3 linked regions of the Callithrix jacchus genome follow. The protein of the gene in region 1 interacts with the protein of each later gene in a biochemical or structural test. Links are inferred from orthologs where the notes say so. Each region holds a gene or a part of one and is shown on either strand. Other genes may lie near its edges. The genes, in order: UBE2D3, RNF14 and TRIM33.

Evidence for each region.
Region 2: the proteins of UBE2D3 (region 1) and RNF14 form a complex in vitro, tested with the Homo sapiens proteins (2 studies listed by BioGRID, with this or other methods). The link is inferred for Callithrix jacchus from reciprocal best matches to the Homo sapiens genes UBE2D3 and RNF14.
Region 3: the proteins of UBE2D3 (region 1) and TRIM33 form a complex in vitro, tested with the Homo sapiens proteins (2 studies listed by BioGRID). The link is inferred for Callithrix jacchus from reciprocal best matches to the Homo sapiens genes UBE2D3 and TRIM33.

The regions. Positions count from the first base shown.
Region 1 is NC_133504.1:94,547,546-94,551,200, forward strand, and holds part of UBE2D3 (ubiquitin-conjugating enzyme E2 D3), read left to right. Parts: intron 1-166; coding exon 167-260; intron 261-681; coding exon 682-730; 3' UTR 731-731; intron 732-2,166; coding exon of another isoform or gene 2,167-2,212; 3' UTR 2,213-3,655. UniProt on the Homo sapiens protein: Accepts ubiquitin from the E1 complex and catalyzes its covalent attachment to other proteins. In vitro catalyzes 'Lys-11'-, as well as 'Lys-48'-linked polyubiquitination.
Region 2 is NC_133503.1:40,423,073-40,426,727, reverse strand, and holds part of RNF14 (E3 ubiquitin-protein ligase RNF14), read right to left. Parts: intron 3,520-3,655; coding exon 3,368-3,519; intron 1-3,367. UniProt on the Homo sapiens protein: E3 ubiquitin-protein ligase that plays a key role in the RNF14-RNF25 translation quality control pathway, a pathway that takes place when a ribosome has stalled during translation, and which promotes ubiquitination and degradation of translation factors on stalled ribosomes.
Region 3 is NC_133508.1:152,390,217-152,393,871, forward strand, and holds part of TRIM33 (E3 ubiquitin-protein ligase TRIM33), read right to left. Parts: intron 3,083-3,655; coding exon 2,936-3,082; intron 2,480-2,935; coding exon 2,362-2,479; intron 949-2,361; coding exon 674-948; intron 5-673; coding exon 1-4. UniProt on the Homo sapiens protein: Acts as an E3 ubiquitin-protein ligase. Promotes SMAD4 ubiquitination, nuclear exclusion and degradation via the ubiquitin proteasome pathway. According to PubMed:16751102, does not promote a decrease in the level of endogenous SMAD4.

The sequences.
Region 1 (3,655 bases):
CATTTTTAGCTCTTCTTACTTACCAGGAGCTTGTCTTTGTCTTATTGAGATTGAGTTAAAAAGTAATATAAGTCTTTTGAGGATTGAGGTTTGTAATAGCATATTAAATACATTTATTTATCTAAACTCCTGAAACTGGATAACAGATGTTTTTGTTTCCTTGCAGTTCTTTTATCCATTTGTTCACTGCTATGTGATCCAAACCCAGATGACCCCCTAGTGCCAGAGATTGCACGGATCTATAAAACAGACAGAGATAAGTATGTTAAAAAGTTATTATTAAAATGGTTTTACTTAATGAGTTAGGCTTATACTCTGCTTGTGACAATGCCAAGACGACTTGATACTTAGTAAGATAATAGTTAAAATATGCAGAAAGCTAGCTATTGAAATGTGGTTATTTAAAACTTACTAGGCTTTAGCTAATGTGACAGTGAATGCCCCCCTCCAAAATGTTTTTTTGTTTTTCCTAGTGTGTTAAACAGTTTATCACTTTATTCTGAAATTTTGGAGAAGAAAGCAAATTTTTCTTAACCCCAAGCATGTTTTTCCAAAAAGTGTTAAGTGCTATTGTAAAAATTTGGTCTAAATTTTTCAAATATTTGAATTATGTTTATGTTCAGTTTAACCATTACAACTTTCATATGTTATAATTAATGCTAAGTATACTTGTTCAATTAGGTACAATAGGTTAGCAAGAGAGTGGACAGAGAAATACGCTATGTTGTAGGGTAAGAGGATCTGCACTCTATGGTGCGCTTATTCATGGTACTGCCAGCACTTGAGTGCTGCATGCATTAAGGCACTGTATTAACTAACAAAAGGTAACAGATGTGGCAGCCTTCTGAAAAGTGTACATTTAACTGCTTGATCTCTGTTTAACGTGAAAGTAAATACCTGGTAGCCATTACTGCTTGAAAGTATTGCATGGCAAAGCAGTTATATAGCACTAGTAAGAAATGGGAATTTATGTAGTATCTTTTTCTTTCAAACTACCATGGTGTTTAAGTTTTAGCTTGAGACTTTGTATCAATACTATATGGAATGTGGTGATTTACTTCAAATTTTGCCAGGAGATAGTAATGTAAGGGAAAAACACTTTTAAGCCTAAGCATCTAAACTAAATGTTCATTACTGACAAGCATGCATTAATGTCAGCTGTACTTTGCGGCTCCCTGTATGTTAGCTAGATAAAGCCTTTGTTTTAAAGTGCTGGCTTTGTGAGAGAGTATCCGTAGGAGATAACCATGATTGGTAGGGAGAACTTGTGTATGTTACAAGTATAGGGAAGTCGTTGGACCATATTTGGCTTTTGGTTTGAAATGAAGCTAGTTAATATTTGAACTGTAAATATAAAAGTTCTCCTGTGTCCTTTAATATGTATTCATTTCTTAAGGTTATCAGTATTTTGTTGGGGTAAGTAGTCTATGGCATTAGTATAATTCAAGGGGAAACTGATAGTATTTATCAATGTTAGTAGCCTTCCTGAGTAATAACCTTGTTTGTGTGTGAATTACCTGTTGATCTTTTTCAACAAAGATGTTCTGGTTGTACTCAATAGGTCTTGATGGGGCTTATTAGCCTCAGTTGCCACACTTATTAAAAGTAACATGTCATTCTGATGAACACAACCAGTCACACACCTCTTTTGAAAATGATTGCGGTTTATCTGCCCAATGTCATCTTCCCCTTCTGCCTCTGCCTAAGTCTCAAAGGCATTTTTTCTTGTAATATCCACGACCAAGTAATTTCCCAAACTCCAGGATTCAGATAAAATTGTTTTAGTAAAAGTCTGGTTCTGGCTTTGGAAATGTCTGTGGATAGATAGAATTTGTATACTACTTTAAACATTTTTTCATGTTAAAAATTAGAGTACTCGTTCAGTGGTAGTGGAGAGAAAGGGTCTTTTGACTTTTGTTAGCCTCCCAATTTGTAGTGCTGCTTTCTTAGGTTTATTAAAATACTGCTTTCAGAGCATCAGACTCTAATTTCCCACATTGCTTTGAGTACCAATACTATTTCTCCCATGTTGGCTTTTATTCTAATCATAGTCATTAGAGATGACTTCATAATAGGTCTGGAGATGAAAATCTTTCCCTTCCATTTAAAGTATTAGGAATTCTTTCACTTTATTTTAACTTTTAAAAATAACATCTTTATTTACAGGTACAACAGAATATCTCGGGAATGGACTCAGAAGTATGCCATGTGATGCTACCTTAAAGTCAGAATAACCTGCATTATAGCTGGAATAAACTTTAAATTACTGTTCCTTTTTTGATTTTCTTATCCGGCTGCTCCCCTATCAGACCTCATCTTTTTTAATTTTATTTTTTGTTTACCTCCCTCCATTCATTCACATGCTCATCTGAGAAGACTTAAGTTCTTCCAGCTTTGGACAATAACTGCTTTTAGAAACTGTAAAGTAGTTACAAGAGAACAGTTGCCCACGACTCAGAATTTTTTAAAAAATGGAGCATGTGTATTATGTGGCCAATATCTTCACTCTAACTTGGTTATGAGACTAAAACCATTCCTCACTGCTCTAACATGCTGAAGAAATCATCCTGAGGGGGAGGGAGATGGATGCTCAGTTGTCACATCAAAGGAAACAGCATTATTCTAGCAGCATCCATTCTTGTTTAAGCCTTCCACTGTTAGAGATTTGAGGTTACATGATATACTTTATGCTCATAACTGATGTGGCTGGAGAATTGGTATTGAATTTATAGCATCAGCAGAACAGAAAATGTGATGTATTTTATGCATGTCAATAAAGGAATGACCTGTTCTTGTTCTACAGAGAATGGAAATTGGAAGTCAAACACCCTTTGTATTCCAAAATAGGGTCTCAAACATTTTGTAATTTTCATTTAAATTGTTAGGAGGCTTGGAGCTATTAGTTAATCTGTCTTCCAGTACACTGTTTAATATAGCACTGAATAAATGATGCAAGTTGTCAATGGATGAGTGATCAACTAATAGCTCTGCTAGTAATTGATTTATTTTTCTTCAATAAAGTTGCATAAACCAATGAGTTAGCTGCCTGGATTAATCAGTATGGGAAACAATCTTTTGTAAATGCAAAGCTGTTTTTTGTATATACTGTTGGGATTTGCTTCATTGTTTGACATCAAATGATGATGTAAAGTTCAAAAGAGTGAATATTTTGCCATGTTCAGTTAAAGTGCACAGTCTGTTACAGGTTGACACATTGCTTGACCTGATTTATACAGAATTAATAAGCTATTTGGATAGTGTAGCTTTAATGTGCTGCACATGATACTGGCAGCCCTAGAGTTCATAGATGGACTTTTGGGACCCAGCAGTTTTGAAATGTGTTTATGGAGTTTAAGAAATTTATTTTCCAGGTGCAGCCCCTGTCTAACTGAAATTTCTCTTCACCTTGTACACTTGACAGCTGAAAAAAAAAACATAATATGGGAGTAATAATGGGTCAAAATTTACAAAATAAAGTACTGTTTCGGTGTGGGAGTTGTCATGAGGCTGTGTTGAAGTGACTTATCTATGTGGGATATTGAGTATCCATTGAAATGGATTTGTTCAGCCATTTACATTAATGAGCATTTAAATGCAACAGATATCATTTCAGGTGACTTAACATGAATGAATAAAAGTCAATGCTATTGGATTG
Region 2 (3,655 bases), on another chromosome or scaffold:
TAGTATAAACATTCTTATTGGAGTACTTCTTAAGCTATTCAGCAACATGAGCTGGAGTAGAACACAAAGTCAGGAGCAAGAAGAACCATGAGAACAAGAGAAACAGGAAGACTCCATAAGACAGAGAAATAGCTGCACATTTTAGTCACTGAAATGGAGGACTTTTTTCTGTTCTTTAATCTTTTAGTATTGCCGTAAGTTTCATGTAGGAGAAACAGATCTAGTTCTAAAAATAAACTATTTTTCTTCCATTAGGAGTCCTAGCCCTGTCAGTATCCTAGAATAATGGTTAGAAAAAGAATCATTTAAAAATACTATCCAAGTTTTAAAATTAATTTTCAGTTCTATCAAGAAGTCAACTCATCTGAAACAATCACTAACAGAATTCAGCCTCAGAGTCCTTGTTTAGATTTAGATTTACAAGCTGCTTTTAACTAAGCAATCTGGGCTTATATCAGATCCCAGTTAATGGAGAAAAGCTGACTGACATTGACCCTGGTCATAATCAGAAGCCCTCAGCATGATTTAGCAGCCATAGAGAAAGCTTACACTTCCTAAGATAAGCAACTGAAGTTAAATTATTTGGAGTTTTTCTCTTTAAAAGTGGTCTGTTCAATTTGAAAGGCAAATATAAGAGGATTCTCCATTAGAAATATAAAATATTTGTAATAGAGCACAGGAATTATAAGCAGCTTTTCTTTTTTAGGTAAACATCCAAAAGTAGGCCTTCCAGATGGCAAATATTGTAAATTTAAATGACAAATAAAAAGGGACAAGATTTCCTGTTTCTTACACTCCGCATAGTGCCACTGACTAAACCCTGCACAGGTACTACCTTACTTATTAATCAGTTAAGATTGAACAACTAATGGTTTTTCACATTGCATAAATATGCTTATAAATCAACCATGCTTTTGAGAAATCTGCTAAAAAATCTGTAAAATGTGATAAATACTAAAAGGGAGGCTCTGAGTGCTGTGTGAGCTACCAAGTCCCATGAAGAAGCCATTCTCCAACTTCTTTTCTTCTCCAGTCCCTTCTCAAGAGAGGCAGCTGGGGCTGTGCGAGGTGGCTCATGCCTATAATCCCAGCACTCTAGGAGGCTGAGGTGGGTGAATCAACTGAGGTCAGGGGTTTGAGACCCAGCTGGCCAACATGGTGAAACCCCGTTTATACTAAAAAATACAAAAAATTAGCCAGGCGTGGTGGCAGGCGCCTGTAATCCCAGCTACTCGGGAGGTGAGGAAGGAGTATCGGTTGAACCTGTTAGGTGGAGACTGCAGTAAGCTGAGATTGCACCACTGCACTCAAGCCTGAGTGACAGAGCAAGACTCCATCAGAGAGAGGGGAGAGTGAGGAGAGAAGGGGGGAGAGGAGGAGAGAGGGGGGGAGAGGAGGAGAGAGGGGGGGAGAGGAGGAGAGAGTGGGGGGAGAGGAGGAGAGAGGGGGAGAGAGGGGGAGAGAGGGGGAGAAAGGGGGAGAGAGGGGGAGAGAGGGGGAGAGAGGGGGAGAGAAGGGGAGAGAAGGGGAGAGAAGGGGAGAGGTGAGAGGGGGGAGGAGACAGATGCACCTGGGATGCATGTAAATTGAAGAGAGAGGGGAATTAAGGGAAAAGGAGCAAGAGACTATGTGAGTATACTGGGGGAGGAATAGGGGAAAATACTAGAAAACTAAAACCACTTCCCTCTGTCTACCCACCCCAATTCGGGGAATGGCACCTATAACGTTGTCAATTTCACTATTAACAGGTGAGAGTCATAATGACAAGGAATCAGGGTAGATCAACTAACAAGAATTGAACCAAGAAGGAATATAAGAGACCAATTAAAATGTCAATTATATGCATAAACAATTATTTGACAAAGAATTCTACTGTAAAAATTTTAGCTGTAACACATAAAACAACTCTCTTCCCCAGCACACACCCCCGCACCCAAATCCAGCATTAAGTGGATGCTGGTTAGCTGCAATCTGAAACTGCAACCACACATCCAGTTAATCTGTCCCTGTTTTGTGCATGTGTGTGTGCGGGTGCACACACATGCACGGATGTAAAGTATGAAAAGCTCACTGGTGAAATGGGACTATGAATATCTAAATAATTCGGCCAATTATCAGTGACCTAAATGCTAAACAGTCTTGATATTCCTGAACAGATCAACTGTCTTGCATCTGCTGCCTCTGGCACAGATATTAGAATGTAAAGTAATATTCCTTTTTATTCTAATGGTATTATCTTTTTTAAGGTTTAAACCATAAGCTCAAATTTACAAAAGTACTCTAACCTGAAAGATTAGCTTGGTAGATGGGGGAATGAAAACTGTATGATCCAAAGAGAAAAACTAATGAGCCCTTGAGGTCAGCAAATCTGACAGCTTTTTGTTTTGTTTTGCTTTGTTGTTTTGAGACAGGGTCTCTCTCTGTCACCTAGCCTGGAGTGCAGTGGCTCAATCTCGGCTCACTGCAACCTCTGCCACCCAGGCTCAAGTGTTCCTCCCACCTCAGCCTCCTGAGTAGCTGGGAGTACAGGGATGCACACCTGGCTGATTTTTGTATTTTTTTTTTGTAGAAACTGGGTTTCACCATGTTGCACAGGCTGAGCTTTCGTCTTAATACACATCAGTCTATCAATCTTCATTATGACTTCTAGAAAAGCAGCTGCTATTGATTCATTATCTATCCCAGAACACTTTATCTATATTTAGCTTCAAGTCATATTTATGTCTCAATCAAGAGTTGAGGCTGTTACTAGAAAAGTATATATAACCCAGAGGAAATGAGGTTCTTTACATAAGGCCTCAAGCCTTAATGAGATATCTACAGGAACTGTACACATTTCTACTTGTATACATTCATGTCTACGTGATACCAGTTGACTGTTACTTGTTATTAATATAGATTTTTACAAAGCAAAGCAGTTATTGTATTTACTCAGAAAATTTTCTTATTATAACTACATTAGCTCAATTTTTAGTCCTAATTAAAGTGAAATCTTTCATTTAAGGAATGGATAAGAACCTAAGAAAAAAAGTAGTATCAATATTTAAGAAAAATGAGGAAGATCTCATAGTCTACATTATAACACAGATTAAATAGGAAAACAGCAAGACAAGAAAAGAAATATACTTGATTAAAAATTACTCCTATTACAATTCATGATTGCTTTAATTACTGCCATTCCTTTTTAAAACACCAAGCATTTTTAATTTCTTAGCATCAGGATCCATCAAGGCAAGGGAAAAAAATTACAAAACCAAAGCCATTTGTTTTTCATGCACTGAATTCAAGATCATTAAGGTAGTCTTCAATTAAAGACAATTTTTAAGTTTCTAAAAATGGATAGGAAAAATTAAGTTTCAAGTCTAACCTGAGTTGGTGACAGCCATTTGCCACTAAGTGTGAATGAAGGTGGGGAAGAGGATGGATAATCTGGTGGCAGTTCAAAGTTCAGCACAAGTGGCGGCAGAAAGCAAATGGTGTATTCAAAGCCACTATTCTGGAGACACTCATTTGAATTGCCTGAACCAAAAACAAAGATTAGAAAGGATCAGTTGGTCAATACTTGAGTGTCCATTACTGTTGAGCAATGCTCAAGAAAGACTTAATGCTTTAGTAAGAGGGAATAAAAACCCTCCTCAAAGGACTTTCTATTTCC
Region 3 (3,655 bases), on another chromosome or scaffold:
GAGGCTACAAAAAGTAGAAATTGCAATTTATGTAATAATTTTAAAATAAATTTATCTTTCAATTATAAAAATAACTGAGTCAAGATAAAAGGGTATAAAGTAAGAAGTATAAATAATTCTTATCGCTAATCCCCAGAGGACTGGTAATGACTAGTTTGTGTATCACTCCCAATTTCCCTTTTCTCTCTCTTTCCCGCTCCCTCTCTTTTTCTCTGTATGTGTGTTTAAAGCGTATCAACATTAACTTATCCCATCCTGGAGTAATATTTTAATTGGGAAGGCAGTGGAAAGAGCAAAAGATACCCAGGGATAGGAATGATTTGAACAAATGCCTAAGGAACACATCAGATCCTAGGCAGAAACAATCTGGTCCTTTGGTCCACACAATTGTAAGTGGAAAACAAAAAAGATCTGATGTGAAAGGATGAGAAGTTAATCCTTCCAGAGTATTAGTTAATTAACTGTTTCCCTAGACAAGTTATTTACTTACTTCCTTTCTTCACACCTCCCTTACATCACCATCATAACCTGAGCAAATATTTAAACACTGACGTTTGAGCTCTGCTCAAAGTCCTGCTAGTAACCTTGAAATGTGTAACTTATCTAATATAGAAAAAAGTATAGTGCTGGGGGCTTTATAATTTCTATCAATAATGCAGCAACGCATACTTACCTGTTGTTGTAACATCTGAGGGGCTGCTTGTCTAGGATGCTGCTGTGTTGTTGTTGTTGTAGTAGGTACAGGTGCTGGTGGTTGCTGCAACCTCATCTGTTGCAACTGCTGATGTTTCTGTGCATACACTTGTTGTTGCATGTGCTGAAGTCGAAGCTGTGCTAAGTTAATCTGTCCAGGGGTCTTACTAATGTGGTTTGTCCCTGGAGGAACTTGCCCAACTACTACATTAGGAGTATAACCAGGAGCTGGTTTATTCTCTATTACTAGATTACCTGAAAAATTTAAAACATGAGAAGAATTTGCATATAATCAACTAAATCATCTATTTTGCTGAGTAATCACAATGTTTTCCTCTCTTCTCTGACAACTATCAGCACCTCAAAGCTCCAACAGTACAGCAGGAAATGGAGTCCATTTAAAGATAATGATGATCAGAAACTTAATACATTGCAAAGCTGAATAAATGACTTTTGGTTATTCAGAAAAATATATTTCCTGTCCTTACTCTTTTTTACTCAGATGTATAGAAAATTAAGAGATTATAAGAGGTATCAGATGAGGCCTGTCTAATCAATCTAAATCAATTCTCCCATGACAAGACTTACTGAAGGATACTCAAGATTGCTAATGCTGATTGCATCTGCCTTTGAATTGCCAAAATGTGCAAGGCAGAGCATTACAATGCCACAAAATCATCTTCTCTGGAAATACTGAACGCTTTAAACAATTTATATCCTTAGAAGTGATGGTTTTCCTTGCTTTTTACAGAGCCACTGCTTTCTAGGGATAGAAACCAAATTTTAGGAAGATGTGATTTAAGGGACAGGTGGACATGCTTTCCCTGTAAATGGGCCATAGTGTAAATATTTTATGTTTGGCAGGCTACATTAGCTCTGTCTCACAGTCCTTGGTTTTTGTTTTTACAACCACTTGAAAATGTAAAAACCATTCTTAGCTACAATGTCACACAAAAACAGGTGGCTGATGCCAGAACTAAGGCTATAGCTAAATTTGAATATAATTTTTTTCTTTTATAAAAAGATTAGGTTTTTTTTTTTTTGTAAATAGGAGGCCAACCAGCCTCTGCTTTTATAATTCCCACTGTTTAGGACTTAACTGTTCTGAAAGTGAGTTTACTCAATCTGCAGATAGCTCTGTAACTGCTAGGAAGCTTGTGTGTATGTGTTTTAATTGAGCTCTCTGTAACTTTCACCGATGGTCTTTAGCTCTCTACTATGCTGTAATAAAAGCAAAATCCATTTCTCTTCCATGTGAAGAGCTACAGTTATCTTTCAAACATTCCTCAAGACATAACTATTGGACACATCAGCATCCCATAAGTCCGCCGCTAACGCACAATACGGCTTAAACATTTAAACATTTATGAAATTCTCCAGACAATGAACCATTTGCTAAGATTTCTATATAAAACAGTCAATATAAATTTAAAAGATCGGGGTCTAAAAACAGTACACATTAAAAAACAATATACAGAGTAGACTCTCAACTTTCTTAAGATGTAATGACAGCCTTACAAAACCACAGCTAAAGTGAGTTTCCAATGAATAACAGACTTTCTAAGTAGTTTTACATTTTAAAGTTAAAAATTTTATCTAAATTCGCTTTAGATGTCTTCTCCTAATTCGGTGTTCCAAGTTATATTCATAAAACCCATTATTTCTCACCTAAATTGACTACATTCTTTGCCCAGAAGGTGGGATCACAATGGAAACGTATTGCTCCATTAGCAGCAGGGACAGGATCACACCGCGCTTTCAAAATGTGACGCAACTGAAAAGTAATCTTAAAGGGAAAAATATCCACATTAGTCTCAAAATTAAATATCAATTGGGAAAACATAAGATAAAGACATTAAGAAAAAAAGCACATATATTCTCACAATGTCAGCCTCAGATTAGGCAGTGTCAATATTTAAGTTAGCAATCAAATCAAATGTACATGCTTGAATTTTTACCATTTCAGGTAATAAATTTCATTAAGATACTAGGTATCTTTTAAAAAGTACATACTAGATAATTCCACTTATATGAAATTCTAAAAAATGATAGAAACCAGATTAGTGGCTGCCTAGGGGAACAAGGAAACTTTGGGGGGTGATGGAAGTTTTCCGTATTTTGATGTGGTGGTGGTACATCTGCCCAAATTAAAATGTGTACTTTAAACAGGAGCAGTTCACTGCATATAAATAATATCTTAATAAAATCCTTTAAAGAAAAATAAAAGCAGTATGTGTCTCACCAGTCGCTTGCTGTACAGTAGTGCTGTGCTGCTGCCACTTGCAATTGCCCAATTTGTGAAGTTCATAACGTGCTTCACCTGCCGGGAAAGGCCTGTGATGTCATTCTGCTGCTGTAGTAACTTCATCTGTCTTTCTTTTGTAACATTCTGAAATAGAACAAGAGCTTCACTGAAGAATTCTATATGAAAAAAAATCAACCCCAAGTTTCTAATGCAAATAGACACAATACCTATACTTCCTTTAAAAATGGGATAAGTGAATAAGCTCCATGATTATTTAGCTAGCCTATCATCAATCAGAGGAAAAGCCACTAACAAAAGTGGAACTAAAACTTAGTTCTCTTAGCTAAAAAGGATATTCCACATATAGAAATTAATGTTAAGTTACTGTCTGTTTTCTACGAACACATGCCTGTTAAAAATAGTTTCTTCCTATTAGGTTAATCTACAAATACAGTATTTATAGCATAAGGAGCTAACTTTAGAAATAAACTTATGTAATCTTAACTCTATAGGTAAAAAAATTTTGTGTCACCAGTGCCACCTCCTGGTGTGGCATAAGAATGAAGTTAAAATCTCTCTTAAATATCCAAAACAAATGAAAAAGATAACTTCCAGAGTTCTAAAAGCAGAATTAAGGAAACTTTTGATATGACAGAAGTTCATAAAGAACAAAGAAGTGAGGACTGACCAAACTGGAAAAACCAATTTCAGAGAAAC